Tamandua tetradactyla: one gene and its partners. The main gene of each other region encodes a partner of the protein of the gene in region 3 in a complex. Links are inferred from orthologs where the notes say so. Each region holds a gene or a part of one and is shown on either strand. Other genes may lie near its edges. The genes, in order: IMMT, MICOS13, APOOL and CHCHD6.

What was found.
Region 1: APOOL (region 3) and IMMT share a complex: the UniProt entries of both Homo sapiens proteins name them as parts of the mitochondrial contact site and cristae organizing system (MICOS) complex. The link is inferred for Tamandua tetradactyla from reciprocal best matches to the Homo sapiens genes APOOL and IMMT.
Region 2: APOOL (region 3) and MICOS13 share a complex: the UniProt entries of both Homo sapiens proteins name them as parts of the mitochondrial contact site and cristae organizing system (MICOS) complex. The link is inferred for Tamandua tetradactyla from reciprocal best matches to the Homo sapiens genes APOOL and MICOS13.
Region 4: APOOL (region 3) and CHCHD6 share a complex: the UniProt entries of both Homo sapiens proteins name them as parts of the mitochondrial contact site and cristae organizing system (MICOS) complex. The link is inferred for Tamandua tetradactyla from reciprocal best matches to the Homo sapiens genes APOOL and CHCHD6.

What each region holds. Positions count from the first base shown.
Region 1 is NC_135343.1:61,150,494-61,159,146, reverse strand, and holds the start of IMMT (MICOS complex subunit MIC60), read right to left. Parts: upstream 3,522-8,653; 5' UTR 3,314-3,521; coding exon 3,269-3,313; intron 2,953-3,268; exon of another isoform or gene 2,812-2,952; intron 1-2,811. UniProt on the Homo sapiens protein: Component of the MICOS complex, a large protein complex of the mitochondrial inner membrane that plays crucial roles in the maintenance of crista junctions, inner membrane architecture, and formation of contact sites to the outer membrane.
Region 2 is NC_135337.1:76,461,469-76,468,842, forward strand, and holds MICOS13 (MICOS complex subunit MIC13), read left to right. Parts: upstream 1-4,443; 5' UTR 4,444-4,948; coding exon 4,949-4,977; intron 4,978-5,698; coding exon 5,699-5,876; intron 5,877-6,062; coding exon 6,063-6,114; intron 6,115-6,533; coding exon 6,534-6,631; 3' UTR 6,632-6,717; downstream 6,718-7,374. UniProt on the Homo sapiens protein: Component of the MICOS complex, a large protein complex of the mitochondrial inner membrane that plays crucial roles in the maintenance of crista junctions, inner membrane architecture, and formation of contact sites to the outer membrane.
Region 3 is NC_135353.1:85,011,739-85,019,750, reverse strand, and holds the start of APOOL (MICOS complex subunit MIC27), read left to right. Parts: upstream 1-4,473; 5' UTR 4,474-4,572; intron 4,573-4,578; exon of another isoform or gene 4,579-4,829; intron 4,830-8,012. UniProt on the Homo sapiens protein: Component of the MICOS complex, a large protein complex of the mitochondrial inner membrane that plays crucial roles in the maintenance of crista junctions, inner membrane architecture, and formation of contact sites to the outer membrane.
Region 4 is NC_135335.1:29,070,517-29,078,444, forward strand, and holds the start of CHCHD6 (MICOS complex subunit MIC25), read left to right. Parts: upstream 1-4,778; 5' UTR 4,779-4,882; coding exon 4,883-4,969; intron 4,970-7,928. UniProt on the Homo sapiens protein: Component of the MICOS complex, a large protein complex of the mitochondrial inner membrane that plays crucial roles in the maintenance of crista junctions, inner membrane architecture, and formation of contact sites to the outer membrane.

The DNA of each region.
Region 1 (8,653 bases), on a different chromosome or scaffold from region 3:
TCTCATTGACCACTAGTACTTCCATTTACCCAATTTAACCTTTGTCCCCTCATTATCTGTTTATTTTTATCCATATTTTTTACTCTTCTGTCCATACCTTAGATAAAAGGAGCATCAGACATGTCTCTCACAATCACAAAGACACACTATAAAAGCTAGATCACTATACAATCATCTTCAAGAACCAAGGTTACTGGAATACAGCTCTACAGTCTCAGGTACTTCCTTCCGGCAGTCTATAGCTTGGGAAGATTAAATTAGACTGAAAATTCGGGTTCTCCTAATTCAAAGCCTCTACTCCTGAAGTAAAGCTCACTTCAGAAAAGCTGGACCTGGTGATATTAGAATGGGCCTGAGAAAAAGATGGAAGTCTGGGAAATAAACTGAAGAAGGCTCAGGTGCAGAGTTCTGAAGCACACTCGGGAAAAGAGAACACCTCATTCCTGCTGAATATCCATATGCAGGGAATGTGAGGATGATGAGCATACACAAAGAATAAAGTAGATTCTATGAGACGTTCCAAAGCTATGGGGGAAAGGAGGTAACATTCACTTATGGAGAATAAGAAAAATTGATGGAACACATTCATTCTTTCATCCAAGCATGCCACAAGCATTTATTGAGCACCTACTTGGAGCCAAGTACTGTAATACCTATTCTAGGTACTGGAAATACAGCAGTGAACAAGATGGACACAGTCCCTTTGAGGTCCCTTTGAGGTCCCTTTGAGGAGCTTACAATTTAATGGGGGAAACATGCAACAAATATACATTATAACTTTAGGTAGTAGTAAGAGCTACAAAGTAAAAGAAAGGTAAGAACAGAGTGATACAAGAAGGACTGAGTGGTAACAAAGTCTGTTGAAGAAATAATAGGAAGGAAAGCCTCTCTGAGAAGGTTGAGAAAAATAAGCTGAATGAAGAGAGCAAGCTAAGCACAGCTGTGTAGGTAGACTTCCCAGCAAAAGAAACAACAAATGAAAAGACAGGCATGTGCTAGAGATATCAGTGGTATAGTGTGAGGAAGAGTAGAAAAGATATGCAAGAAGCCAGATCACGAAGGGCCAGGTGGGCGTGATCAGGTGTTTAGAATTTATTCTGAGTGTGAAGAGATGTGAAGGGCAGGTATGATCTATATGCTTTTTAAAAGCCTTTACTAACCACTATGTAATAAACTGACAGTAGAAAGCAAGATAAAAAGTAGGAAACATTTTAAATTATGGGATGAAAAGGATTTTAACAAGTGGAATATTCTGGGTAAAGCCGGAAAATTAAAACAAGAATTCAGAAATTTGAGTATAAAGCTCAAAAGAGAACAGAAGAGTGTCATCTGATTAGGGGTTAAAGTTCTGAGAACTGATATAACTCCAAGTATGAGAGTATATAAAGATAAGCAATGAGACTCAGTAAAAGAAACACAGAAAAGAGATGAAGGGTAAAATGGGCCCCAAAACGTTGTGTGAGAGAAGCCAAGAGTTTTATAAAGCAACAATATCAAATGCTGCAGAATGACGGAGGTGAGTGTGAGAATAAACCAACGCATTTTACAAGTTAACAATTTGAAGGTTAGAAGTTTTAACTGAGAGCTTCAGGGTTCACTTTAAAGTTTTAATCACTTTTCTTATTTCCTAATTGGGATCCCAATAAGCAGAAAGTATTTTGATAAAAGTAACAAAAGGAAAAAGTAATTTTGGAGTTTAGGTAAGACAGTCTAGATCAATGACAGCCAAGATGTAAACAGAGAGCAAAATGAGAAAAGGTGTGCCATAACTAGGGCTTTGTGGCAAAAAGAAAAAAAAAGGGTGGGGGGCAGATTTTGCAGATGCAATACAGGTTACTAATAAACTGACTTTAAGTTAATCAATTAGGATGTTATCCAACTGAGCCCGAACTAATCACATAAGCTCTTTAAATTAGGGTCTGAGGTAAGAATCAGGAAAAGAGAGATTCTAAAGTCAGAGAGACAAGTTACTATTGGCCTGGAAGAAAGCAAACATCCATGTTATAAACTCCCTATGGGAGTTTCAAAGCAGGAATTGTCAGCAGCCTCTGACAATAGTTGCAGGGAAACAGGAGTCAATCTTACAGCTGCAAGGAACTGAATTTTGCCAACAAACTTAATAAACTTGCAAGAGGATACTCAGCTCTAAACAAGAACATACCACAGCTAACACTTTAACTGCAGCCACGTATGGACCCTGAGCTGAGACCCCAGCTCAGTCAGTCACGCCCAAACTTTTAATCTACAGAAATTGTACGAAAAACATGGGCATTGTTTTGAGCTGTTAATTTATTAAGCAACAACTGAAAATTAATACAGCCACACTTTCACACAGAAAAGGCTGCTTCTCTTTTCCACGGCAACAAATGCAGAAAGACACAAACCTGGAGGGAAGCAAAAACAAAAATCAAAGTTTGACTTTTATGTCCTCTCTCTCCGTAGGCCTACAGATTTTGTTCAATTACTGCAACACATCTCACTGAACTACCAATCCGCAGTAAACTCTGAACAATGGAAATAGCCCTACTTTAAAAAAAAAAAAAAGTAATGTTAGTAAGTTACTTTGATTACTCATGAAAACTTAAAGTGGTTTGGTGTCTAGGCTCCTTGAACGTCGGTCAAAGTTATGTCAGCACCTGGAGACACAGGCTAACCTTAGACCTCAAATCAAGGTCATGACTCCCATCCTTTCTCCATTAACAGGAGTTTGGGCTCCAAAAGCTAGACTCTTTCAACTCTGCTTAGAGTAAGAATAGCTCCCAGGTATTCTCTGTTGGGAAAGAAGGGCAGTCCCTCCCGGGTAATTACAACCTTGAGCCCAGCAGTTGTAGGCACCTGCTCACTGCGGCAGCACCCAGGATGGGCCACCGCAAGTGCTGCTGGGAACGGTAGTCCAGCCCTCCGACCTTCACCTAGCCGCGCGCGTCCAACCCGCGACGGCGAGCCATAGCCGGGATTGGGTCGTGACTGGGCCGACACGGGGTTGATTGGACCGCACAGCCCGAAGCCCCGCCTAGCCCTGTGCCCGCCTCCCCGCCACTTAGCCACACCGCCGGCTTCAACGATAACCCTCGGGTCTCCAGTCACCCCAGTCGGTGGACTCCCGAATTCACTGCCGCACCAGCCCCTCCCGAAATGCTCGCTAGGAGGGCGGCCCTTAGACGCGCGTCGAGCCGGGGCCTACGCAGCGCCAAAGCCACCCCAACTTTCCGTTAGCGGCCCCGAGTCATTCGCCTCCGGGGCTCTCTCCCAGAGCCCCTGTATTCACCTGGGCGGCGGCGGTCACGCCGGACAATTGACAGACCCGCAGCATCTCGTTGGCCGGGTGAACAGCGCGGCTGGAGTACTAGACAGCTATCGGGGCGGTGCGCCTAAGGGAAGGCGTGTGGGCAACAGGGCGGCGTGCGTGCGTACGTCCGGCGCCCCTCCGCGCCGCAGTCACCGGAAGACCGACCAACGTCCCTGCGCACACGCAGCTCCATGCCCCGCCCCTTGCCGATAGAATGGGCTAACTCGGAAGCGGGGCTGTAGAGGAGATTACGAGTCGGAGACGATTGGTGGAAGGAGGCGGAAAGGGCGACTTTTGTTTCCGGGTTACGTGCGGCTCCAGCTCTGTAGCCCCTCGCTGAATACGGATAGGTCTGACACTGCAGAGAATTAAAGCAAGGAAGCTCAGCGGTGTTTGTCAGCTGAATATTTCGTAGAAACGAATCGGTTTGGCCAGACTTACTTAAACAATGCTTTTGTCTCGGTTTGCGTATGTTTCGCTTGACAGCCCTTCAGGGATTTACCCTGACTGCAGGAGATGGGTGAACTGGATGGACTGTTGTGCAGAACGTATTGTTCACGTTATCTAGTGTCAGGGCAGGGGTAATAATCTGTATGGTCGGACTCCACAGCTTCTACTCCTTCTAGATTGAGCCTCTCACCGGTTTCTCCATCAAGTTTTAATTTCAAGAGGGTGATTTTGACCGGGTCTGTGGAGTAGATTAGAAGATAAGGAGGTCAGTGCAGACGCACTGTTGTGCAAAGTATACCGCTGAATCTATAATCAAACTACGACATTAAATATTGAACGTGGCATTCATTACTACTAGTAGTATTAATCTTATAATCAGAACATTATCGAAACTAAGTTATCTGACAAGTATCTTTGGTTTATCTAATAAATAGCCTGTGTCGTGTATTCAAATTCTTTCTAGTCTTAACTAGGTAATTGATGACATAGTATCCTACCCAAAGGTAAAGAGCAATACTACTCCCTTTTGTAAAATGGAGAAATGGATTTTAAAATTATCTAAAATCAAATAATTACTTACATTTGCGTATATCTTATGCTATCAGGGTGCTTTAGTAATTGCATTTTATCTCTGTTATGCATCTTTGCCACCCAACAACTACAGAGTGTTTTCCCAAGTTCCTAAGTAACTTTAGTGACTGAATCATGATCTGTCCGTCTCTGTCCCTCTTCATCACTGTCAGGCTTGGGTAGTGCCATTTCGATTACTCTTCTGACATCCTGGCTTTGAACTTCTTAGTGCCATTGAGCAATTTCATTCAGCCCTATCCATGTATGGGACAGCCATATCTTGGGTTTGAACATCATTAGTGACCCTTCTGAAGTTAAGATCTCAAACCCCCATTTAGCCTCTCACTTATTTCCTACCCTTTTACTTACCCTTTCTCTCAAGTCCTTAATCTCACAATCCACATGGAATTTTTCAGATCTATTCATTGTTATGCTTTAAAATATTATCAGTACACACCGATGTTCATAGTGGCATTATTCACAATTGCCAAAAGATGGAAGCAACCCGTGTCCATCAACCAATGAATGAATAAATAAAATGTGATATGTACATACAATGAAATATTACTCAGCCATAAAAAAGAAATGAAATCCTAATTCCTGTGACAACATGAAAAGCCCAGAAGACATCATGTTGAGTGAAATAAACCAGACTCAAGAAGGCAAATATTGTTTGATTTCACTGATATTGAAGAATTAGAATAAGCAAATCATAGAATCAGAATCTAGGGATGGGGTGGGAATAGGGAATGAAAAGTTAAGGCTTAAAATATACAGGGTTCTTGGGTGAACCACCGTGGCTCAGTGGCAGAATTCTTGTCTTCCATGGTGGAGACCCAGGTTCAATTCCCTGTGCCTGGCCATGCAAAAGAAAGAAAAAAAAAAAAAATATATATATATATATATATATATATATATATATATATATATATACACACAGGATTCCTGTTGGGAGTGATGGATATGTTTACATAGTGGTTGGTGGTGATGTTAGTGCAACTTTTTTTTACTTTTTTTGTGAAAAATAACACATATACAAAAAATTTGAAAGCACATCACAACAATTAGTTGTAGAACAAATTTCAGATTTTGTTATGGGTTACCATTTCACAATTTTAGGTTTTTACTTCTAACTGCTCTAAGATACTGTAGACTAAAAGAAATATCAATATAATAATCCAGCAATCGCATTTACTAAACCCTACCTTCTCTGTATAACTCTACCATAACTGTTGATCTTTCTCTCACTCTTAAGGGGTATTTGGGCTGTGCCCATTGTAACTTTTTCATGTTGGAAGGGGCTATCAATAATATGGGATAGGGAGACAGAATTAACTGATGTTCTGGAGAGGTTGGCCCCTCTGCATTTCAGGATTTATCTGGTTCAGGGACCCATCTGGAGGTTGTAGGTTTCTGCAAAGTTACTGTACTACATAGAACCTTTGTAGAATCTTATATAACACCCTAGGGGTTCTTTAGGATTGGCAGAGTTGGGAGTTGGCAAGTTATTTTAGGTAGCAATGTTTAACTAAAACTTGCATAAATGTGATCTCCAGGGTAGCCTCTCTCAGCTGCTGAGACCTGATTTGTTAAACTTCTTTTCTCCCTTGTGATCAGGATGGCATTGTTGATCCCATGGTGCCATGGCCAGGTTCATCTCTGGGAGTCATCTCCCGTGTCACCAGGGAGACTTTCACCCCTGGATGTCATGTGCCACATAGTGGGAGAGGACAATGATTTCACTTGCAGAGTTGGCCTTAGAGAGAGAGAGGCCACATCTGAGCTTCATGGAAAGCCTTTCAATCCATTGTTTCTCACCCACGGGGAAAACTGACACAGGAGACTCTTTCCTTCTGACAGGAGGCCAGTTTGGTATGAGAAAATCTGACTGGTATAATACCTAAGTAGACCCTCCTAAGGGGAAAAAAAGGCACCATACAGGCAGGGCAAGAAACAAGAAAACAAGAACTGAAAAATTCTCATCTGTTAAACAAAACTTAAGCTAGAGGTGTGGACTAAGCTGAACTGAAGGTCAAAGAACAGATAGACAAAGTCATCCAAGAAAATTCTAGGTAAGAAAAAGTGAAAACAATCTCCAGAATAAACTAATTAAGTAAATTAAATGCCTAGACACCAGCAAAAAATAACGAATCATACTAGGAAAATTGAAAATATGACCCAGTCAAAGGAACAAACCAAGAATTCAAATGAGATACAGGAGTTGAAACAATTAATTCAGAATGTTCGAACAGACATGGAAACCCTCAACAAAAATCAAATAAAAGAATTGAGGGAGGATATAAAGAAGGCAAGGAATGAACAAATAGAAGAAATCAAAAGTCTGAAAAAACAAATCACAGAACTTATGGAAATAAAAGGCACAGTAGAAGAGTAAAAAAAAAATGGAAACCTACAATGTTAGACTTCAAGAGGCAGAAGATAGGATTAGTGAACTGGAGGGCAGGACATCTGAAATCTGACAAGCAAAAGAAAATATAGTGAAAAGAATGGAAAAATATGAATAGGGACTCAGGGAATTCAATGAGAACATGAAGTGCACAGATATACATGTAGTGGGTATCCCTGAAGGAAAAGAAAAGGGAAAAGGAGGAGAAAAACTAATGCAGGAAATTGCCACTGAAAATTTTGCAACTCTTATGAAAGATTTAAAATTACAGATCCAAGAGGTGTAGTGTACCCCAAACAGAATAGATCCAAATAGACATACTCCAAGACATTTACTAATCAGAATGTCAAAGAGAAAGAGAGAATCTTGAAAGCATCAAGACAAAAGCAATCCATCACATGCAAGGGAAGCTCAATAAGGCTATGCATAGATTTCTTGGCAGAAACCATGGAGGCAAGAAGACAGTGGGATGATATATTTAAGATACTAAAGCAGAAACACTACCAACCACTAATTCTATATCCAGCAAAGTTGTCCTTCAAAAATGAGGGGGAAATTAAAACATTTTCAGACAAAAAAAATCACTGAGAGAATTTGTGACCAAGAGACCAGCACTGCAAGAACTACTAAAGGGAGTACTAGAGACAGATAGGAAAAGTCAGGAGAGAGAGGTGTGGTGAAGAGTGTAGAAATGAAGACAATCAGCAAAGGTAAAGAGAAGAAAAATTAGGTATAATATATAAAATCCAAAAGGCAAAATGGTAAAAGAAAGTACTGCCCTTACAGTAATAACACTAAATGTTAATGGATTAAACTCTGCAATCAAAAGACATAGACTGGCAGAATAGATTAAAAAACAGGATCCATCTATATGCTGTCTACAGAAGACGCATCTTAGACCCAAGGATAAGCATAGGTTGAAAGTGAAATATTGGGAAAAGATATTTCATGCAAACAACAATCAGAAAAGAGTAGAAGTAATTATACTAATAGCCAACAAGTAGGCTTCCAATTTAAAACAATTAAAAGAGACAAAGAAGGACACTATGTATTAATAAAAGGAATAATTCAACAAGACATAACAATCATAAATATTTATGCACTGAGCCGGAGTGCTCCAAAATACATGAGGCAAATGCTGAAAAGAGAAATAGATACATCTAGTATAATAGTTGGAGACTTCAATTCTCCACTCTCATCAATGGACAGAACATCTAGACAGAGAATAAAATATTTAGGAATAAATTTAACTAAAGAGACAAGAGACCTATATGAAGAAAACTATAAGAATTTTTTAAAAGAAATCACAGAAGACCTAAATAAATGGAAGGGCATACTGTGTTCAGGATTGGAGAGTATTTGAATATTACAATAAATGAGCTAGACTTAACAGATATTTATAGAACGTTACGCCCCACAACAGCAGGATACACCTTTTTTTTTCAAGTGCTTATAGATCATTCTCAAGGATAGACCATATGCTGGGTCACAAAGCAAGTCTCAATAAATTTAAAAAGATTGAAATAATACAAAACACTTTCTCATATCATAAAGGAATGAAGTTGGAAATCAACAAAAGGCAGAGTGCCAAAAAATTCACAAACATGGAGGCTCAACAACACACTCTTAAACAATCAATGGGTCAAGGAAGAAATTAGAAGAGAAATTAGTAAATATCTCGAGGCAAATAAAAATGAGAACACAACATATCAAAATTTATAGGATGCAGCAAAGGCAGTGCTAAGAAGGAAATTTATTGCCCTAAATGTCTATATCAAAAAAGAAGAAAGAGCAAAAATCGAGGAATTAACTGTCCACTTGGAAGAACTAGAGAAAGAACAGCAAACTAGCCTCAAAGCAAACAAAAGGAAAGAAATAACAAAGAGTACAGCAGAAATAAGTGAAATTGAGAACATGAATACAATCGAGAAAATCAA
Region 2 (7,374 bases), on a different chromosome or scaffold from region 3:
GACGCCGGATCCCATCAGCACACAAAACAACTTACCTGTTGCCTTGCAATGGCTGCCGCGGCGGAAGGGGCGGAAGCGCACGGAACTCTGGGATATCTAGCCTCGGGCGGAAGCACGAGCTAGAGAGGCGCGCGCGGCACGCTAGCGCCCCCTCACGGATGGTTGCGGCGACCTCCCTGAGCATGCGCCACCGGGGTCCCTGAGATCGCGCGTTTACCCCAAGGAGTCCTATACCGGACCTGGGGACCGATGGGCGTGCCGGAGGCCGTGGTACCTTCCTCTGAAGTTCTGTGTTCGAATCCCGCTCTGACCCGCCCCACTACCCACACAATGAGCGGCTCACTCCCTCCAAGCTCGCCACGTTGCAAGCCTCTTCCAATTACCCCCTGTCCAGAGCGCCAGGGCCATGGGCAGGCACCGAGCTGTGAGGACACCACCTCCCAGGGAGTCCTTGTCGGCCGCCAGGCTGGACAGCCCAACGAGGTCGGCTACACGTAGCTCAGGAGGTTCACCTGCCGGGGGCGCCTCAGAGTGACCCCACCGAGGCGAGGTCAGAGGAGGGGGCGGGGCCCAGGCCCGGAAGAGGGCGGAGCCTGGGTCCCGGACGCGAGGGGTGGGGCGACGGTCAAGAGGCGGAGCCTAGGCCCGGAATGGGTCCGGGACCAGGGAAGGAGGGAGCGGAGCCTAGAGAAGGGGGCGGGGACAGGGATGCGAGAATTTGCGCGCGAACCTGGGGACGGAGTCCTTGCCAGGAAAGGGGCGGGCTCTGGGGCCGATGGGGCGGGGCATCTTCATGAGCCAGATTGCAGCCTGGGCACTGCGAGCCCGCTGGTCGGCCGAGGCGGCGCCGACGTAGGTTCAGGACCCGAAGAGGCCGGTCAGCCCAGGGCTAGTCCCTGAGGCCCCACCCCCTGCACCCGATGAGACCTCACCCCCAACCCCCACCCCGATCTGGCCTAGGGCTCCGACCCACAAGCTCCACGCCGAGTGATGCCCTCTAAGACCCCTGAGGTCCCGCCCCAAGCCCGACTCCCCGGATCCTGCCAGGCTTCGCTCCCTTTGCAAAGAAGCACCTTCCAGAGCGCCGTCCCCGCGTGCGACGAAGTTCTGCCACTGGCCACGCCGCTCGGCGGGCACCCGTCACCGCCACTCCTTCACCAGGCTCGGGACCTGCCTCAGGCCCCGCCTCCACCCAGCCTGTCCCGGCAAACTGCACCGCGTGCTCGGACGCCTCGGGCGAGGCCATGTCCACGGGGATATAGAAGACCTCGGGGGTGGCCAGCATCCGGCAGGTCCCTACCACCTAGGGGACCAGAGCTGCCCCTGAGCCCCTCCGCCCCAGCTGGCCCCACTCACCTACCGGACATCTTGGGTCCCCACAGCGAAGCCCCGATTCTGAGCATTGGGTCCTGCTCAGTATCAGCCCCAAAACACTGGGCTCCCAAACTGGCAGCCTTGGGACCAGGATGGCTGGGCATGTTTTATGTGATCAATCACCCACCATCGAAAACTCCGGAGATGGCACATAACTCCGCAGATTTGGGGCTTCTCTTGAAACTGTGGGAAGTTTGTGCCCAGGATAGTTCTTGGGCTGCTGAGAAGCTTCCACCAGCCCTCCCAGACCGTTTTTGAGTTTGAGAAGCCTGACATGGGGCACAGGCTTTGGACACATTCAGTATTCCTATTTATTGCTTCCCACACAACACCAGAACCCATGAGCAGGCACTTTGATCGTCTTCATTTTGCAAAGGAGGAAACTGTGGCCCAGAGAGGTTAAGCAACTTGCCCATGGTCACACAGCAAGCAGGGATGGGAGCAGGACTTCCAACTAGGCCTCCGTCCCCCTACCATCAAAGGTGTCCTGGGGTGGGGTGGCTCACCTTCTGCAGGAGACCCTGGCGTGGGTGGTGAGCACCAGGTGGGCATAGCAGTATGCCAGTTTCTTGGCCACACCTGCACTGGCACCTGTCAGCAGCACTCAAGCTCCCTGGAGGCTGGCCAATAGGGAGCAGAGGGGATAGCCTGCGGGGTGGGCAGGACAGCAGACCTGACAAATTCCCCCACCCCCATCCTACACCCATGCACCCACCTGGGTCGAAGCTGTCATCCCAGTAATAGGCAAAGAGCTGGGCCCTAAGGCCCATGAGAAGCAGCACCTTCATGGCTTTTCCAAAGCCTGCTGGGTCCCATTTCATTTAGCATAAAACTCCAACACCAAAATAGCCACATACACAAAAAAAGTCAGGAAAGGACCCTCACAATCCCTTCTGCCAGGCCAGCCTCTCTGACACTACTCAAGCCAGCCAGGCACCAGCCTGCCCCAGGGCCTTTGCACTCGCTGTCCCCTCTGCTAGAAAGCTCCTCTGAACATATCCAAATGGCTTGCTCTTTCCCCTTCCTTCAAGTCTGTGTGCACAAATGACCTCCTCAGAGGGGGCTTCCCTGGCCTCCTTTTCTAAAGCTCCCCCCCTCCTCATCCCTCTCTCTAGCACTTTGATCTCCTTCTCAGCATCTGTTGGCCCTTGAAATTATAGGGACAATCTGTTACGTTTTCGGGCCCCTCGTCCAGTAACAGATCAGTTTACTTACTTCTGTTTCGCTCACTGTGTCTTTAATGCCCAAAACAGTGCTAAGTACACAGTAGGTGCTCAACAGATAACAGAGTAACAGAGAGTGATATGAAGATTGTATGAGACGAGAGCTGGGGGAGACATCCCAAAAGAACTGGACAGCCAGGGCTGGCTGGTGACATCTGGGTTAGCTGTAACTTCAGGCCCATCACATCTGGGGTTTCTACCCTCTGAACGCCAGAATCTAGAAGGCTGACAGAGCCTAGATGGGGTGGGGAGCGGGTGTTTGGGGAGACCCTAAGTCTGTAATGTCTACATCAGCCCCATGGCCTGAGCCCCTACTGCAAAGCTCCCACCACCTCCTGGGTGTCACCCTTTGGCACCCTTCGTGCCCTTAGATGCAGCAGGGCTCAATCTGAGCTCAGCATCTGAAGCCAAGCCTTTCATGTCACCATAGCAAACTCCCCACTATCTCCCATTGCCAAGTCAGCACTGACCTCATGTTCTAGTTTGCTAGCTGCCGGAATGCAATATACTAGGAATGGCTTTTTAAAAGGGGAATTTAATAAGTTGCTAGTTTACAGTTCTAAGGCTGAGAAAATGTCCCAGTTACAACAAGTCTATAGAAATGTCCGATCTAAGGCATCCAGGGAAAGATACCTTGGTTCAAGAAGGCCAGTGAAGTTCAGGGTTTCTCTCAAGGGAGAAGACACATGGCGAACACAGTCACAGTTTCTCTCTCGGCTGGAAGGGCACATGGTGAGCATGGCATCATCTGCTAGCTTTCTCTCCTGGCTTCCTGTTTCATGACGCTCCCCAGGAGGTGTTTTCTTTCTTTCTTCAAAGGTCACTGGCTGGCAAACTCTCTGCTTCTCATGGCTATGTTGCTCTCTGCTCTCTCAGAAATCTCCATTTTCCAAAATGTTTCCTCTTTTATAGGACTCCAGAAATTTATCAAGACCCACCCAAATGGGTGGAGACATGTCGTCACCTAATCTAGTTTAACAAATACTTTTGATTAAATCATCAGGGAGATCTAATTAGTTTCAAACATACAATGCTGAATAGGGATTAGAAGAAACAGCTGTCTTTACAAAATGGGATTAGGATTAAAACATGGCTTTTTGTAGGGTTCATACATCATTTCAAACCAGCACGCCTCACTTCCTCACAGCCTTTTCCCCACCATGGTCTGATGGTGCACGGGTATTGCCAGTTCTCCCTCCAAAATCTTTCTCCAACTGTCCCCTCCTCTTTGACCCCAGGGCTCCCAATTTCACTGCTTCCCACCTGGACCCTTTACGGAGGGGGGGGGGGGGCCCTGCCTGAAATGCCCACGGTTCCCTGACTCCCACTTCCACCCAGCCTCCCCATTCTACATATGCTTCCCACCACTCCTCCTGGGATTCCCCACCTCCAACCCAGGCCCCCCCACCCCCGACCTCCCACCCCATCCTCTCCATGAAGCCAGCCAAAGGAGGCGGGATTTGACAGAAGGCCTGACAGATGGATGGACGGATGGACTGATGATGGATGGATGATACAGCTGGGTCGGGAGGCGGGAGGTGTGCCGGGGAACAGGCTCCTTACAGAACCCACTGGTCCCTCAACCTCGTCAGGACTCAGTTTCCCCTCTGGGCCAAGGGAGCGTGCAACGGACTCACCCACTCGGGCCTCAGTTTACCCCGCTGTACAGCCAGGCGCGCGGCCCCCTCGCTTGGGGCCCGAGTCACGTGACCCCCCAAGCTCACGAACCCCTTCGGGGGAAGGAGCCAGACAGGGGGTGTCTCCGTGCCCAAGCGTTGCCATAGTAACGGCTTCCGCGTGGCTCCCTGGCCCCGCCCCTCGGGGCGCATTCACGTGTTCGCGGTCTATCCTCTCGCCAACAATTCCGCCCTTGTGTTGCCGTGACGACTGCTCTCTAGGCGTGCTCCCCGAGGAAGGGAACATCAGTACCCCGCGCGGGCGCGGGTGGATCTCCCGGGCTCCGAAACTTCCTTCGGTCCCCCTCAGTCCTCGCTCTAGACTTCCAACACCTCCATCCCTCACGCCGCGGGAGCCCGGCCAGGCGGGACTACATTTCCCAGGAACTTTCGCGGCCGGGTTTACCGTCCCGCCGCTGCCTGGGGCGCTGCCGACTACACTTCCCAGAAATCCTTGCGGCGGTCAGGGCAGTAAAAACTACATTTCCCAGCGGCCGTTCGCGAGGGTACCAACCACCCTCCCAGGGATCTTAGAGCCGGGACAGTAGTCTAGGCCTCCGACTCCCGGAGGGCTTTGCGGCTGCCAAGAAAAACTACACCTACCAGAGGCCTCTGCGGCACACTACCGGAAGCGGCGGGCAAGGCGGGTGTCCTTGTGCGAGGAACCGAGCGACTATGGTGCCCCGAGTGCTGTCGCTGATGAGGTGCGTGGGACCGCCGGTGCGATGAGAGAGTCCCCTCTCCTCCCTCCAGCCGCCCGGGTTTAGTCCTGACCTACTGTTCGCTTCCCGTAGTGCCAGCGCCGTCCCTCCACAATGGGCCAGATAGGGAAACTGAGACTCGGGCGGGGAGGACTTGCCGAGGCCACCTAGCGTTTCCCTCCTGCCTCCTAGCCTCGCCCCGATCTCGTGGCTTTTTGCATCCGAGACGCCCCTCCGAGCCTCAGTTGCCTCTTCTAACACATCTAGACCCTGCGGAGTTCTTATTGGGAGGCCAGTCCGCTCCTGGAGTGGCGCGTGACGTTCAGGAACCGCTCGGGGACGTTAGGACACCCCCGCGGGTTGTTCACAGAGCATCCCTCCCTGGCCTGGAAGCTAGAAGGATCTTAAGTTCTTCCCTTTCCCTTGTTCCCTTGAACAAGAGACCTTGAGGGACCCGCTGCCCATTTCCGGGCCTCGGTTTACCAGTTAAATGGTGTTGGAAGTCTCTGCTTTGCACCCCGGAAATGTAAAACCGTGCACAGTAGGGGTCAGACACGCCTCTGGGTTTCCACAGCATCCTGTACTTCCTCTCTGAATTGCCTAGATATAGGTGTGTCACCTTCTGGGTTAGGAACCCCAGGAAGGCCCAATTCCTCCCTGTGGATTTGACAACTGAGGGCAGCAAGCTTTCCCACTGATCTGTCACTCCCTGTGCTGCCTGCAGGTTCCTCATCAAGGGCAGTGTGGCTGGGGGCTCCGTTTACCTCGTCTACGATCAGGAGCTGCTGGGGCCTAGCGAGAAGAGCCAGGCGGCACTTCGGAAGGCCGAGGAAGTGGTCCCCCCAGCCATGTACCAGTTCAGCCAGTACGTGTGTGAGCAGACGGGCCTGCAAATGCCCCAGGTACCAGGAGCTGGACATGAGGCCAGGGCGGGTGGGGAGGGAGGTAAATTTAGGGGTCACTAAAGAGCCCTTCAGCCCTGCTTGGTATCCTGTGCACTCAGGGGTGCATATTCCTCCCTCTGCCTTGGGAGGCATGTTGAGGGCTGCCGAGCCCTTCCCTTCTCACTAGCCCCTTTTTCTTTCCAGCTCCCGCCTATGCCAAAGTTTAACCTTCCCATCCGCGATTCCTGGAATTCAGGTAAGCACCTGGTCCCTGTGTTTGGGGATGGTGGGGGTTGCCCTAGCCTAGACCCCAGAAACCCCAATCTCCATGCCTTCCCCCTCCCTGCTTCCTGGTCCCCTTTTCCATTTTCTCCCTACTACATATGTGCCTTCCACAATTTTAAAAGAGGGGAAGTGGGAACACAGAGAAGTCTCTTGGAGCTGGGCTGGGCATTGCCGGGCTCTAATGGGAGCCGTGGATCAGGAGGTTGGAGGCCTGAGGCCATATCAGATCTCATCCGGTGACCTCAGACAAAGCAAGGCCCTACCCTTCCTCTACCTCAGTTTCCCTGCATGCAGTTGATGGGCAACTCCCCAGCCTTGAGTTTCCCGGGCAAAGGCGAAGGGGAAGCTTCCTCTGCTGGGCCCTTATCAGGCAGCTGTATCTCCCAACAGGTATCATCACAGTGATGGCAGCTCTGTCGGCCGCCCCCTCCAAGGCCTGCGAGTACTCCAGGGAGGGCTGGAAATACCTGAAGGAGCGTACCAAGTAGTGTGTTGGACCTGAAGACTCCAAACTGGGACCCTACTCCAAGGGCAGCTCATGGCCTGGCAGGCCCAATAAAGGACTTCAGAAGTGCCCCTGACCCACGTGCCAGCCCTGGGGCTTTCGGGGTGCTCCAGCTCAGGCCTGCCTGGCCTTGACCATGGGCTAAGGTTCACCCCAGTCATTGCTTCCTGGCCCTGCCCACCAGGGCCCTCAACCTGGCTGGGAGTGTGAGAGCAGAGGATTAATCCTGGTGCTCTCTGGACAGTGCTCTGGGCCCCGGGAGAGAGTTGAGAAAGTGCAGAGGGCGAGTTCAGGTTTAGAGTGGGGCGATGTCTTGGTTTGTGGAGGGCTGGGCTCAAGGTGGGGCATTCCAGGAGCAGCAGCTCAATGGGGCAGGCAGAACTCACCATCTGCCCCAGCCAGGAGCCCTCTCCAAGACCCCTGCCTTACCTTGCCATCCTACCCTTTTCTGGCCTGGTGGTTATTACTATTTGGGGGTCCCTGAGACACCTGCCCTGCACTGGCTCAGCTGCGTACTTCCCCACCGTCTCAGTTTGCCTAAGCTGCACTGACAAGCACTACCCCATGGGTTGGCTTATACGTCCGGGGTTTTTTTTTGTTTTTTTTTTTAACATGTCACAGGTGTAGTGCCCAGAAATGCCAAATCAAGGCATGGGCAAGACCATGAGTCCCCTTGGAGCCTGCAGTGTTGTGGCGCCAGTTTGCCGCAATTCCTGGGGTCCCTTG
Region 3 (8,012 bases):
TCACATAGGTGGACCGTCTTGTTAGGTCAGTTTCACCTCCTTGAAGAGTTGTTTTCTGTCCTTCCAATTGAAAGTAATTCCTACTCCAACCCAGTCATCACCTATAGTACTTAACAGCCTCCAAAACGAACTTGTTTTTTCTTGATAAAAAATTTTACACTTAAACTCCTCCAGTCTAGAGTTTGCCTATGTTTTATTCAGTGCTTCATGCCCAGCATCTAGAACAATGCCTGACAGTGATGCACCAAAGGTAGGGGTGGGAGTGCATGACCCTGAGTGTAGGCAATAAAGGGGTTGGATTATCTGTTAGAGAACTTAAAAAACAGTAATTGTTCTAGTTTGCTAGCTGCTGGAATGCAACACACCAGAGATGGATTGGCTTTCAATAAAACGGGATTTATTTAGTTAACATATAGTTCTTCAGAGGAAAGGCAGCTAACTTTCAACTGAGGTTTTTTCCTTACATGGGAAGGCACAAGGCAATCTGTGCTCGTCTTCTCTCCAGGCCTCTGGGTTCCAACAACTTTCCACGGGGTGATTCCTTTCTGTATTGCTGAGCTGGAGTGCTGAGATGAGGTATGCTGAGCTGCTTGGGCTGTGCTACATTGAGCTCTCTCATTTAAGCACCAGCCAATTATATCAAACATCATTCATTGCAGCAAGCACACCTCTTAACTGACTGCAGATGTAATCAGCAACAGATAAGGTTCACATGCCATCAGCTCATGTCCACAGCAATAGAACTAGGCACCTTCACCTAGCCAAGTTGACACCTGAACCTAACTACCACAGTAATAAAATGTAATAAAGTCATTGTGCTGTTAATCATCACACACTGCCAATTGTAAACAATAATGATAACAAAATCTTCTTCTAACAACCTATTTTTGGTGTAAGTACCTAAACAATTTTTGTGGTTACTATTGAGTTTTAATAATATATGTCATATTCAAATTATTTATTTTAATAACCTATCCTTTAAAAGACATTGTATTCAGCATTAAAATTAATGTGAAGAATTCCAAGTTTTACAATAGATTTCTAAAACATGAAGGCTGTTATATGCATTTCTTCAAAGGATAATTTCACAAAGGTTCTGAATTGTTGGAACTCTTCTTGGGTGCAGTTTATGTCTGCAGCCCCTGTAGTACTGCATATCCCTGTGTTTAAACAGTAGATTAGAAATAAAAAATGATCGCTCAAGTGATTGCAAAAGAGAAAGACATAGAACCTGGATTACTTTAGTTTTGCCATCTATGTGACCACTGTGTGTGTGTGTGTGTGTGCATGCTTATTTATTTGTGCTAAATAATTTATTTATTAATTTATACTATAATTTATATATTTAAATATTTATTGAAACAATTAAAAATATTTACATATTTAAATATAATTGTTTAATAATTTATCATGTTTTTGTGTTTAAAAGTTTAGACAGTGAAGGAGACAGCTAACTATGAGGTGTACTATTTTTGTTTTGTCAATTCAACTTTTAATTTACATATAAAATATTTTCTTGAATTTGAATTTTTCTGGTGTGAAACTTTAGTTGAGGTTAATCAGATAGAAAAATATTTAAAAACAGCCAGAATCAGTGGTGAACAATGCACAGATTAAAAACTAAGCTTTAAATTGTTCCTTGAAGATTGGGTCATAAAAATTGGGAAGAAAACTATTTACTATATGTTTTGGTTTGCTAAAGCTGCCAGAATGCAGTATACCAGAAATGGGTTGGCTTTTATAATGGGGATTTATTAGTTTATAAATTTACCATTCTAAGGCCATGACAATGTCCAAATTAAGGCACCAACAGGATGATAACTTCTCTGAAGAAAGGCCACTGACATCTGGGGTTCCTCTGCCAGACAGCAAGGCACATAGCTGGCATCTGCTGATGGTCCTTCACTTCAGGGTTCCATTGCTCTCAGTTTCTGATTTCAGTGTCTCTCTCTCAGCTCCTCTAGGGAGTTTCTCTTTTTGCAAGCTCTCTTGGCTATTCTGTGTTTTATCCTGTCATAAAGGACTCCAGTGAAGGATAAAGACCCACCTCAGATGGGCTGGGTCACCTCTCAATTGAAACAATTTAATCAGAAGGTAACACCCTCAATGGGTCTGACCCCATAGGGATGGATTAAAAGAACATGGCCTTTCTGGGATACATAGTAGCTTCAAACCAGCACACTATGTGTCTCAGTTTGCCAGGGCTGCTATGACAAATACCACACAATGGATTGGTTTAAACAACAGAAATCTATTCTTTCTTGGTTTCAGAGGCTAGAAGTTGAAAACAAAGCTTTTAGCAAGGTCATGCTTTCTCCCAGAAGACTAGCAATCTGCTGATGGCTTGTCATAATCCTTGGGGGTTTTTTGGCTTGCATCTTGGCCTCCCCTCACATGATGATCTCTTTCTCCTGGAATCTGCTCTTCCGGTTTCTGCTAAATTCCAGTTTCTTCCTTTGCTTTTCTCTAATTTTATTCAAATTTCCTGTCTTTGTAAGTCCTTCAGTAATATAGATGAAGACCCACCCTGATTAATTTTGGCCTTACCTTAACTAATAATAATATCTTCAAAAGGTCTTATTTACAAATGGGTTCATGCCTACAGGAACGTGGATTAAGATTAGGAACATTTCTTTTGCTGGAGTACATGACCCAATCTACCACACTATGCAACTTCATGATATAAGGAAATCGACATTTACATGGAAAAATAAATTGTAATGTACAATAGAAGGAAAAATGACATAAGATGTCTGTCTGACATTGCCAGAAAAAATCAAAGGGGCAGTATTTGAATACTCAGCTGTTTGCACAAAGCACTGAATACCTATTCTAAAGCATTGGATCAAATGATGTCAAAGTTTCCCCTCATTCAGATATTTTCTGACTTTTTACAGAAGAAGAAAAACTTTTAAAGTTTTTACAAACTACTATAGAAATGTATGATTCATTTTAGGGGGAGATACTTTAGGTGAAATTTTCAACTGTGGAAAATTTGAATGCCCATAGATTTGATCTTGAAGAAACAAAGACATGAGTGGTATTGTAATTCCTGGAATTTTTGTGAAATAAGATTTTATGAATCTCTTTCAAAATTATTCACATATTGAGACTTTTCCTAATTATTTGTATAAGTGTTGCTTAATGTGGAAGTAACTTTATTGATATTAAAATTAGTAGAAAATGTACATCATCTATGAACAAACATATATTGACAAATCAGTCTATATCATCTATTGCATATGCAGAGATGATCAGTTTTGATGAAGTCATTGAAAAATATGCAGATATAAAGGCTCAAAACAAAATCTGTGATATTATTATTTGTTAGTGTGGTAGACCAACATGTATATATCAGCTTTTCCTCTTTTGAAAAATATAACTCACTTAAAATGTATTGATCATAACTTTTTTCTAGTTCATTTTTGTATTATACTATTTACTTTATTTTCTGTTTTATTTTTATGCTGACATATATATTTATGAAGTTCACTAAAAGAAAATTTTCACTTTGTGTTCTTAAAAGATTTCATGATTATTTGTTAAAATAATTTTGTTATATAGAGGAGGGGGCTGTTAGAAATGATGTTCTTTGGGTATCAGACATGCTAGGTATGCCACTGATGCATTTAATATATCGTTTGCATTTAATAAATATCTGTTGAATAAATGAATTAATATTGGGAATGTTAATGGGAAGATTATAAACCCCTTCTTTCTTCAGAATCATTCACTAGAGGCCTAGGGGACCTTGTACTTATTGAGAATGTTGCACCTACCCACAGGATATTTTCCTTACACCATCCTAATCATCTTCTTAAAATCTAACTTAGATCATGGCATACCTCTGCTCAACAATCTCCAAAGACTTACCATTTTATTCAAAATAAAATCCCAAATCCTTATCGTGGCACAAAATGTGCCCGACACAATGTGTAATTTCACTACTTCTTAATTTATCACTCCAGTCACACTGATCTTTTTCGTTGCTTTTCCTTCCTCATGGAATGCTATTCTCTACATTCCTTCAAGTCTGTTTTCAAATATCATCTTTTCCAGTCTTTCCCTAATCTATCTAAACAAGTAATCCCCGACCCTATTTCTGTTCCGTACCCTGAAAAAGTGCCTGCCACATAGTAAGCGCTCAGCGACAGTCCGAATGATTGAACTTGCCCATGTATCGAGGAAATAACATGTTTCTTTTTTAATAGTTATTAAGGCAGCTGAACTTAGGTATTAAGTCCTTACTGAGACAAATAATTTATGTCTGAAATGAAAGGTTCTGAAACCACAAAACAGCTCTCAACTGGAGTATGGAAAACGTTCTGAAGGACTTCCTCTGGGACTGGGAGATTCAACCGCGAAGATAAAACCTTTCCAGAAGACAGCCAACCAACTGTAGTAACTTGTCGGAGCTGTTCCAGGAGGGCGGAGAGAAGGCGGGAGTGGGCAGGTCAGGGACGTAATGGGGCGGGGCTGCCGTACGCAAAGCCGAGGTGAATTGTTTTGTCCCTCTCTGCTCTTCGTATAAAAACTTGGGCAGCGAGGGTCACAGACGTGTCGACCATTACGGTAAGTGAAAAAAACCTAGCTTACTTTTTTGGGTGCAGATAGCCTTGTAATAACTTAGAAGGGATCCTCCTAACTTCAGAAGGTAGCCGTAGAGCAAAGGGCCGGGTGGAGGTAGGGTTGTAGGAAGATCGGCAAGGTCAGGGAGTCGATATTTGAAATCCAGATCCTCGAAATCCAGGCCTCAATTTGCCTTCAGAGTTTTCTCTCCGTGAGACTGCTTTCTCTTCAATTGCCTGCGGTTAACTTCTTATACAGAGGTACGGTAAAAACTGGAAACGGCTGGGTGAGCAAGGCACCTCTGTTGCTGGGCGACGAGCCGCAACAAAGGTTTGAATCTTGAGCTGGAACAAATTAAAAAATAATCGTGGGCATAACCCTATTGAAGGACTTTGTTCAAATATTATTTCGGGCGAAATAAACCAGGATAGAGACGCCCCAGAGCCTCCTTGCCAGTGCGCGGGTTTATACGTACTGCTACACTGTAGATTCAAATAGGACCTAAGTTTCTTTTGACTTCTATAATGGGAAAAGGCACCTTTACTTAAAGTCTTTGTACAGGAAATGACTCAGCTGGCTGCTACAGTTCCCTAACAGGGTTTCAATGGCAGCAGTTGACGATATTTACCTCGCGAGTTTCAAGTGTTAAATATTCTGCCATGCTCGCAGGAGATTCAAATATGAATAATTCAGGTTAGCCAAAGTTTATTTTAAGTCTGCTGAATATGTGTCTTGAATAGTCATCCTCACAGCATTTCTGAAATTCAGGCTTTCATAATTTATCTGAATTATTGCAATAGCGTTCTAATTGGACCTGCCTCTAGCCTAGCCCACCAGGAATCCATTCTCCTCTGCGCTGCCAGAGTAATTCCATTAAATACGAATCTGATTATGTCCCTTACCTACTTAAAACTCTTTATTGGCTCTCTGATATCTGTCCTCTAAAGTCAGGTTCAGACTGTTATGCCTAGAATGCGAAACCCTGTCTTGACTCTCCAGTTTCTTTTGCCACTCAGGACCCCTCTCCCATCAATACTGATCTACTTGCTTCACCGCTCCGTAATTTTTAACCTGTTCTTTCTCTGGGCCTGAAGTGCCCTTTCCCATCTTCATCTACTTAGTTCCTACCCATAGTTCATCAATTCATTTAATGTACATTTGAGCGCCTTCCCATATGATAAGCACAAACTACTTTTCCAAGAGACTGTCCCCAACCTCCCCAAAGGTTCCTGGGCTACTCTTACCTTAGCATTTATCCACTGCAAAAATTGAGTATTTACTTGTCTGTTCTGCTCTCCTAAATTATAATCTCCTTGGGTCAGTAAATATGACATAATAATCTTTGTATTCTCAATACCTAGCACAGATCTGGCCTAAAATAGGTAATCAGCAATTCTACATGAGTAAATAGGTGCCAGGAAATGATGATAGAATAGGTTAAATTAAGCAGTGAAGATACAACAAATGACTGTGATTCAGAGAAAGGGAAATGCCTTGCTTCAGGAGAAGTAGAGAGTGCTCTGAGGGTTTAAAAGAGAACTCACTCTTGGTTGAGGGAATAAAGAAAAGCGTCACCAAGGAGGTACAGAGATGGAGAAGGAATAGTCAGTGTTAGAAAGCAAATCGGAATGGTGTGTTGTCACTGAAACCTAGAGGAAGAGAGAGTTGAATGTGTCTTTTTATTTGACCACTAAGAAGTCACTGGCATTACACTACATAACCAGTGAACCCTAAGTTAAACCATGGACTTTGAGTAATAATACACTTGTAAAAAATTGCAACAGATGTTCCACAGCAAAGCAAGTTGTTGGTGGTGGGGTGCTATATGGGAATCCTGTGTTTTATGCATGTTTTTTCTGTAAACCTTTGATTTTTCTAATAAAGAAAAGCCACTGGCAACTACCATTTATTAAATGTTACTACAGTCCAGGCACTGTGCCCAAATACTTTACACATTATTTCACTTAATTCTTTTTTTTTTAATTTTTTTATTAATCAAAAAAAAGAAAAGAAATTAACACAACATTTAGAAATCATTCCATTCTACACATGCACTCAGTAATTCTTAGTATCATCACACAGATGTATGATCATCATTTCTTAGTACATTTGCATCGATTTAGGAAAAGAACTAGCAAAACAGCAGAAAAAGATATAGAATGTTAATACAGAGAAGAGAATTAAAATAATAATACTAATAAAAAATATATATATATAAAAAAAGGAAAAAGAAAAAAAAACAAAAGATACAAACAAACAAACAAACAAACAAAAAACCATATTTCAGGTGCAGCTTCATTCAGTGTTCCAACATAGTTACATTACACTGAGGTATTATTGTGCTGTCCATTTTTGAGTTTTTGTATCTAGTCCTGTTGCACAGTCTGTATCCCTTCAGCTCCAATTACCCATTATCTTACCCTGTTTCTAACTTCTGCTGGGCTCTGTTACCAATGATATATTCCAAGCTGATTCTCGAATGTGGGTTCACATCAGTGGGACCATACAGTATTTGTCCTTTAGTTTTGGGCTAGAATCACTCAGCATAATGTTCTCTAGGTCCATCCATGTTACTACATGCCTCATAAGTTTAGTCTGTCTTAAAGCTGCACAATATTCCATCGTAGGTATACGCCACAGTTTGTTTAGCCACTCGTCTGTTGATGGACATCTTGGCTGCTTCCATCTCTTTGCAATTATAGATAATGCTGCTATAAACACTGGTGTGCAAATGTCCGTCTGTGTCTTTGCCCTTAAGTCCTTTGAGTAGATACCTAGCAGTGGTATTGCTGGGTCGTAATCCATTCTGCCATTCTATGTCTTTTGATTGGGAAATTCAGTCCATTAACTTTTAGTGTTATTACTGTTTGGATAATATTTTCCTCTACCATTTTGGCTTTTGTATTATATATATCATGTCTGATTTTCCTTCTTTCTACACTTTACTCCATACCTCTCTCTTCTGTCTTTTTGTATGTGACTCTAGTGCTACCTTTAGTATTTCTTGCAGAGCTGGTCTCTTGGTCACAAATACTCTCAGTGACTTTTTGTCTGAGAGTGTTTTAATTTCTCCCTCATTTTTGAAGGACAGTTTTGCTGGATATAGGAGTCTTGGTTGGCAGTTTTTCTCTTTTAGTAATTTAAATATATCATCCCACTGTCTTCTAGCTTCCATGGTTTCTGCTGAGAAATCTACACATAGTCTTATTGGGTTTCCCTTGTATGTGACAGATTGTTTTTCTCTTGCTGCTTTCAAGATCCTCTCTTTCTCTTTGACCTCTGACATTCTAACTATTAAGTGTCTTGGAGAACGCCTATTTGGGTCTAATCTCTTTGGGGTGCGCTGCACTTCTTGGATCTGTAATTTTAGGTCTTTCATAAGAGTTGGGAAATTTTCAGTGATAATTTCTTCCATTAGTTTTTCTCCTCCTTTTCCCTTCTCT
Region 4 (7,928 bases), on a different chromosome or scaffold from region 3:
CTGGGCAAGCTCACCACATAATATGGACCCCACTCTTAAATCTGTCAGAAAACTAAGGCACAGAGAGATGAAATAACTTGCCCAAGGTCACAGATCTAGAAAGAGGCAAATAACAGATCTGCAACCTGATCTCATATCAGAGCCCACTTTTTATAGGGCTGTGCTATTCTACCTCCAGGTGACCATACTGTCACAAGCCTCCTTGGCTAGAGCTAGGTCATTTCCAGGTGTCAGGGAGAAGAGAGTCTGGGGAGGTAAGTATTGTTTTTACCCCCCAAGTGCAGACTTTTCTTTTCTTTTCTTCTGTTCTGAAAAATGGCAAACATTGTAAGGATAACATAATGGATTCCCAATATATTTCAACTAGACTTGCCTGTTTTTCCCTCTGAACCATTTTGAGTACAAGTTGCAGATACCATGACACTTTACTTCCAATCCAAGAATATTAGCATTAATTCAATAATGTCATCTAAAACACATTCTATATACAAATTTTTCCAATTGTCCCAAGTATCTTTTTTATAGCTCTGTTGTTGTTGTTGTAGGAATCTGGGATCCAATTAAAGTTCACTGTTGCATTTCATTGTGATGCTTCTTTCATCATTTTTAAACCACCTTTTTTGTTTTGTTTTTCATGAGATTGACTTTTTTCCAAAAAGTCCAGGCCAGTTTTGTGGGAAGTTTCACATTCTGGATTTGTCTGATTGCTTCCTCTGGATTAGATCCAATTTACATACTTTTGGCAAGAATACTCTACAGGAGAGGTAGGATACTTTTTATTGCATTATATCAGAAGGGAAATTGTGTCAGCTTATCCCACTATATGTGATGCTAAATTTGGCCATTTGTTACTGTATTCCAGTTTTCCCATTGTAATTAATAAGAAATCTGTGGTGAGACTTGGGAATTGGGTGAATATCCTGTTCCCTGATGTCCTGGTTTTCCCGGGCTGCTATGATAATATCATGAACTGGTTGGCTTAAACAATAGTAGTTTATTGGCTCACTGTCTTGGAGGCCAGAAGTTCAAAATCAAGGTCTTGACTGTCCATGCTTTCTGCTGCATTCTGCTGTCTGTAGCATTCTGTTGCTGGCTTGCCACACTCCATGGGGTTCCTCCTTTATATGGCAATCAGCTTCATTTTCTGGCTTCTTGTGGCTTCTACTAACTCTATCCAAACTTCCTCTGCAATAAAGACTCCAGTCAGATGGATTAAGACCCCCCCCCCCCCCCCACCGCCCGGATTCAGTTTGGTCTCAGGTAAATAAGATCTTCAAAGACTCTATTTACAAATGAATCCACACCTTAACCAATAATAATATCTTCAAATGTTCTCATTACAAATGGGCTCATACCTATAGGACTGGAAGTTAGGACTTGAAATGTCTTTTGTGGGAAACATGAGTCAATCCCCAACACCTAATAACCTTTCACCCAACTGCTTCAGAATCCATTAATGATTTTTGACTGAATCATTCACTGAGGGCTGCAAAATGGTGATTTTCTAAGCTGACATTCCTTCTGCATTTATTAATTGGTATTCTTTTGTAAAGAAGAGTTTTCCCCCTTTTCCCCCATTCTCTCTCTCTCACTCGTTTGTTCTCACACTCTTATATCAAAATGAACTAATTGATTTTTAAAAAATTAAATGCGTTGTAAGCCATTACTCTCTGTATTCTTTTTGATGTTCAAAAAACTGTCCCAATTTTGGTCAGTGGGAGCCTAGGAGATTAGATTTTTTAATTAGTCACACTCCTGCACTAAAGGAATTGGGGTTGTATTGTAAGGAAGAAAGAGAGAATGGGTACCAGGCAGCAACTATTGGGCCTGTTATACCACTTTATCTCCCCGGAGTCTCGGTTTCCTGGGCTTTAAAATGAGGAATAACGCTGGCAGGGTATCTGTGAGGACCAAAGGAGATGGTATGGATTAAATTCATGAAAAGCATATGTGCCATAGAGTCTAGCACAAAGTGGGTACTTGAAAAAATATGAGTTTCCCTTCCTCTCCTTTTCTCTACATTCCTATTGCTACTGCCTTTATTCGAATCCTCATCCTACTTTGGATTTATTGTTACAATATCTTAGCCTGTTTGCCCCTCTGTTTTCCTTATCTGTGAAATGGGGATATTGAACTTGTTGCTTTGTTATGAAGCTTACCTATGCCTTAAGGGTAAAGCCTACTCTAGGCCTTGTGGAATTCAAAATTACCTCCCAAGATTTTGCACACAGTCTTATGGTCACCCTTGGCTCTGACTTTCGTTTTGCTGAATTAGTTCAGTGTATTAATTATATCATCACCTGACCCAGAAGTGAAATCCAGCTCTTTCCTCAAAACCTCCTCTTACAATCACAGAAGAAATGTAAGTGTCCTGGAGATTCTGAAAAATATTTGGAGCATGTAGTAGATGCTGATAGTGTTCTACCCAGGTTACCTTTACCAGCACCTGTTGTGGGTATTGGGCTGTTGGCAGTTCATAGCTGGCCCCTTTTCTGGAAAAATGCCCTGGGCCACCAATGATGACTGATGTGGGGGATACAGAAGGCTGACCCCCTTGCCTCACTGTGGGACCAATTCTGTGGTGCAATTTGTGCTTCAGAGTCCCCCATGGGATCAGGCTGAAGATAGCCTTCTGCTGAGACGACATCCTTACTTAGTGTTTATCCTCTGCTTTATTCTGCTTCTTTCATTTCCTTTCTTGAGGATACTCCCCCAGTAAACCTCTTGCATTGGAATTTTGACTCAGGCTTTGCTTATAGGGAAGAAGAGATGGAGGGGGATTTTCAAATTCAAATATTTGAAGTGAAACTGGCAGATATCTTTGCTCCTGACAGTCTCTCTTGACTGCCCTGCCTCTGGAAATGTTCACTGACTTCTTCACCCCAAGCCTCAGAATGTCTCAGCGGTCTCTACTCCATTCTGTGTTCTTCACCCTTTCCTTCCCTGGTTGCCAAAAGGAGCTCCAAACACTTCTTGCTCTTTCATGTAGCAACCCAATACTTTCCAGCTCTAGATTCCAAACTCAGTTCCAGGCCCACACTAACAAATCAAAGTTATTCAGCATCTTAGATGAACACAAGGGGTCTTTATTTATGATAGCTATGGCTGTAACAGCAATTATTTGTGTTTCTCCACTATATATAACATTGTGGATAAGAAGTACAAACACACCGTACTTTGTATATGACATGCATGCTTGCTGGACAATATCTCCCATTTGCTTGGGACTGTTTGCCGTCCTCACAAGGCATCTAGAATAAAATGCAATCCATGACCCTGGACTACAAGGCCCTACAAGATCTGGCGTTGCCTGTTCCTCCGACTTCATTGCATCTGGGACTACTCTTCTTTTTTTTTTTAAATTTTTAAATTGTTTTAAACGTAAAAACATATAAACACAAACATTCTTACTATATGATCATTCCATTCTTGGTATATAATCAATAACTCACAGTATCATAACATAGTTGTATATTCATGACCATGATCATTTCTTAGAATATTTGTATCAATTCAGAAAAAGAAAAAAACTCATACATATCATACCCCTTACCCCTCCCTGTCACTGACTGCTAGTATTTCCATCTACCCAATATATTTTAGCCTTTGCTTCCCCTATTTTTTTTCCTATACCCCTTACCACTCCCTTTCATTGATCACCAGCATTTCAATCTCCTAAATTTATTTTAACATTTGTTCCCCCTATTATTTATTTCTTTTTAATCCATATGTTTTACTCATCTGTCTGTACGGTAAATAAAAGGAGCTTCAGACACAAGGTTTTCACAATCACACAGTCACACTGTGAAAGCTATATCATTATACAATCATCTTCAAGAAACATGGCTACTGGAACACAGCTCTGCAGTTTCAGGCACTTCTGTCCTATTTGTATGAGGCTTAAGAATAACTTCCAGGATAACCTCTCCACTCTGTTTGGAATCTCTCAGCCACTGACACTTTATTTTGTCTCATTTCGCTCTTCCCTCTTTGGTCCAGAAGGTTTTCTTAATCCCTTGATGCTGAATCCTAGCTCATTCTAGGATTTCTGTCCCACGTTGCCAGGAATGTCCACACCCCTGGGGGTCATGGGACTCCTTTTCTTACCTCTTGCTTTCCAGCCATGCAGGCCCTCTTTTCTTGAACGTGGCAAGCTCTTTCTGCCTCAGGGCCTTTGCACTTATTCCTCCCCACTCATCCTTCAGTCTCAAGTCACATGCTTCTTCAGACAGGCCTTCCTTGCCCTCTCAATTTAAAGTGGGCCCCTTCCTTTTAATTTCTCTCACGATATCCTGATGCAGTTTTCCCTGCATAGTACTTATTGCAGTAGGTTAGTAAGTTTATTTACTTGCCTATTTTTGTTTTCATTTGCTTCATTCATTGCACTGAAAACCCCACAAAAGCGTAAGTCTTGTGATTTTTGGGTTCCCGGGAGCTAGGCGCTGGATGAGTTCTGCTCAAGAAGTAATCAATGATCAGAAGTTCGTCCCCAGACCTTAGGCTCAGCTCTCTCGGTGGTCTGTGGCCTCGGGACCTCACCCTGGGCTCTGCTTTCAAGGTGATCGATCTTTTCAAAGCGGGAACTAGACCATAACTGCCCTGCTCCTCAGCTTCTCATTCAAGATCTCCTGCCCCTAGCCGCCCTCTTTCTGGGTCCGCGCGAATCGCCGGGCACCGGCCTCCCACAGCCTGGCACCGGTGAGACTACACGGGTGCCGCGACACCTGATTGGCTGAGCTTCGGGCGGCAGCCAATAGGACGTGGCTTTGTTGGTTCACATCGGCAAGGAGGGCTGAGGCGGAAGCCGCGAGTCTTGGAAAGTGTAGGGAGCGTGAGGCGCCTGGAGTCTGGCGGCTACCTGGTGGCTTTGGAGCCTCTTGCCATGGGCAACGCTGAGAGCAGCGAGGGCCGCAGGGTGTCCTTCGGAATGGACGAAGAGGAGCGAGTCCGGGTGCTGCAGGGCATCCGGGTGAGCGGCGCCGCCGGTGGGCTCCACGAGCGAGCGATCGGGCGCGGCCTGGGTCGTGGCGGGCACTGGGGCTCCTCAGGGCGCGGGGGACCGCGGGCCGGGCGGTGGGGAGGACGCGGGGGCCGAGAGAGCGGCCTTGCGGGGGCCTGACGCGCGGCGCTCGTTGAGTCCAGTCAACTGCCTGGTGGCGAGTCTTTCTCCCTACACTTTGCCAAAGAGGAAAAATGAGGCTCGGTAGATGCCTAGGGTCGCACGTCCAGGAGTGACTGCGCTGGGACGTGAGCCGAGAGCCGGCGGTCTTCAGGCTTCACCACGACCTGGGCGCCGGCGAAGAAGGGGACAAGCGGGGAGGCCACTAGGATGCGAGGGAAGCCTTGGGCCACGTATCACAGCTCCTGTTGACTTAACTGTCACACTTCCTGAATGTCCTCCGCCCCACCCCTCCTCTTTGCACGCGCGTGTCTTGTGTGTATGCCTGAGATGCTTCCGATCATGGACCACTGCAACACTGGACTGCCTGGACAGTCCATTTGACACGCAGCAGCCAAAGGGCCCCTTTAACAGCTGTAAATCAGATCATATACCCTTTTCCTTGCCTAAAATCTGCCAGTGGATCCCAAGCACATATAAAGTAAAGAGAAAATGCCTTGTCTTGTTTTACAAAGCTCCCCTGTTCCTTGCCGACCCCTCTGACCACATCTGGTAATAGTTCCCTGGCCTCCCATCCCCTTCTAGTCACAATGGGCCTCCTTACTCTTGGTAGGAGATGCCAGCTACAAGCTCAGGACCTCACCATTTGCTCTTTTCTCTTCCTCAGCTTTTCTTGTACCTAGCTGGCTTGTCACTGATGTTGTAGCTAAATATCATCTAAGAGAGTTTGTCCTTGAACATTAAATCTAAAGTAGCTTCTAACTCCCGCACCCCCCTGTTTATTATTTTCATAGCACTCATCACAATTTGAAACTAATATTGATTATTTGTTTACCTCCTTTGTTGTGTCTGCCACTACAGCATAAGCTCTTTGAGGCTATTGGCGGGTTCGCTACCCAATTCCCAAACCTAGGATAATAAAAGCAGCTCATATTTGAGTGCTTAGAGCGGGGTGTGTATTGTGGTAAACTGTCTATAGGTATAATCTCATTTAGTTCTCAGGCATATGAGATAGGCAGCATTCTGTTAGCCCCATTTTGAAGATTAAGGAAAACTGAGACACAGAGAGGTTAAGTAACTTATCTAGGGCCACCTAGTTAACAAGTGGGAGAGCTCGGATTGAAGAAGGCCAATCCCAGGCCTGTTCCTTGAACTGCTGCTCTATACTTCCTCCTATATAGTGGGTGCTTTGTAAATATTAGTTGAGTGATTGCATGAATTAACCCAGTGAAGCAGGGACCATATTTAGATAGAATGTACAGAGCTGGGTGTTAAGTGAATTAGTCCATTGGGGAGGGAGGTAGATCAGAAAAAGACTTGAAGAGCTCTGACTTCTACACCCAGATGCTCATTAGCTGTTGTTCTTAGGTGAACAACCTTACTTTTGAGCCTCAGTCACCTTATCTAAAGGAAAAAATGGGAATGTAGAGATACTGTCAGTTCTGCCCAGGATAAGATGAAGATGTATGGGAAAGTGGATAGAAAAAGTACAGAGTGCTTTGTGCGGAGCTTCTGTTCTTAGCCTAACACAGTACTTGGTTGGCACTTCGATGCTCTATAGGTCATATTGTTTTGACCTGGCTTGTGTCAAGGTTCCAGTGGGGAGGAGATGGCTTATAGTAAAAGATCGATTTTCTGGAACCTAACTGGAATTTAGAAAGAAACTCTTGGCTCCATTTGGGTGTTCTGCCACCTGTGTTACCTCATCTCTTGCCTTTGGGAATGTTGAAAAGTTAGATAAGTTGAAGTCTCCTGAGGTTTGGTGGAGTCCCTTTGGAGGTTCTTTTAGTGGACAGAGGGTAATCTTTTTGAAGTATTACATCAAACGGGAACATTTTATTTCTAATTCTCTTACCAATTCTCCTTAAAATGTATAATTTCTATTTAAAGATGAAGAATCAGGCTAAGAAGTTAAGGAATTTGTCTAAGGTATTGCCGGAGTAACTTCTGGAACTTTATTCTGGATCTTTTGGGCTGCAAAATAAACCCTTCCCTGACTTACTCCCAGTTCCATCCATCCCGTGATATGCAAGGCAGTCTGAAAAACGACAATGTCTCTGTCCTGAAAGGGACACTGGTGCCCCACTTATTTCTATCCGAGACTTAAAACTAGAAGGAACTCTAGTTAACTGTTTAATTTGACTGCTTCCTTTTCCAGCTGGGAAAATAAATCAGTAAATGACTTGCCCAGGAGCATACATTGAGGTCCGCAGCCTCATGCTTTCAGAGCCACTACCTTCCTTCTGCTTGCTTGTGTAGCTGGTTTGAAAGGGGAGGAGAGGAGAAAGGAGGGTGATGATAATGAATTGTTTCAAGGAAGGGGCTTTTCCTGTTAGCAAAGTTCCTTGAGAGGCAGGGTGCTCATCCTGCCTTTAGTAAGGCAAATATCAATTGAAAAGATCAACAACAGAGAGTACCAGAGTGGACAAATGAGAAGTTAATTTAATGGGCAGAAAAGGGAATATTTGCCCCTGCTCCTTCAGAGAAAGTTTAATATTCTTAATGACTTGTATTTAATCTCCTGGGCCTGGTCCTAGAACATGATCTAGTCCCCTAAAAATTAAGTGCCAGGGCCTTGCTAATTTACATTCTTGTTTGCATATATTTGAATAGCTGTTCAAGCCCTAATTCCTTGGAATGGAAAAGAAATTTAATTAATGCAAAATACTGCAATCATATTCAGCTCCAGTTTTGAGAGCAAGCATGCGTAAAATACATAAAGATTTTGTTTCGACCAGCACATTTAACCTCATCCTCCATTAAGCGAACACAACACATGGCATTAATGTTCTGTACGCATCTACTTTTC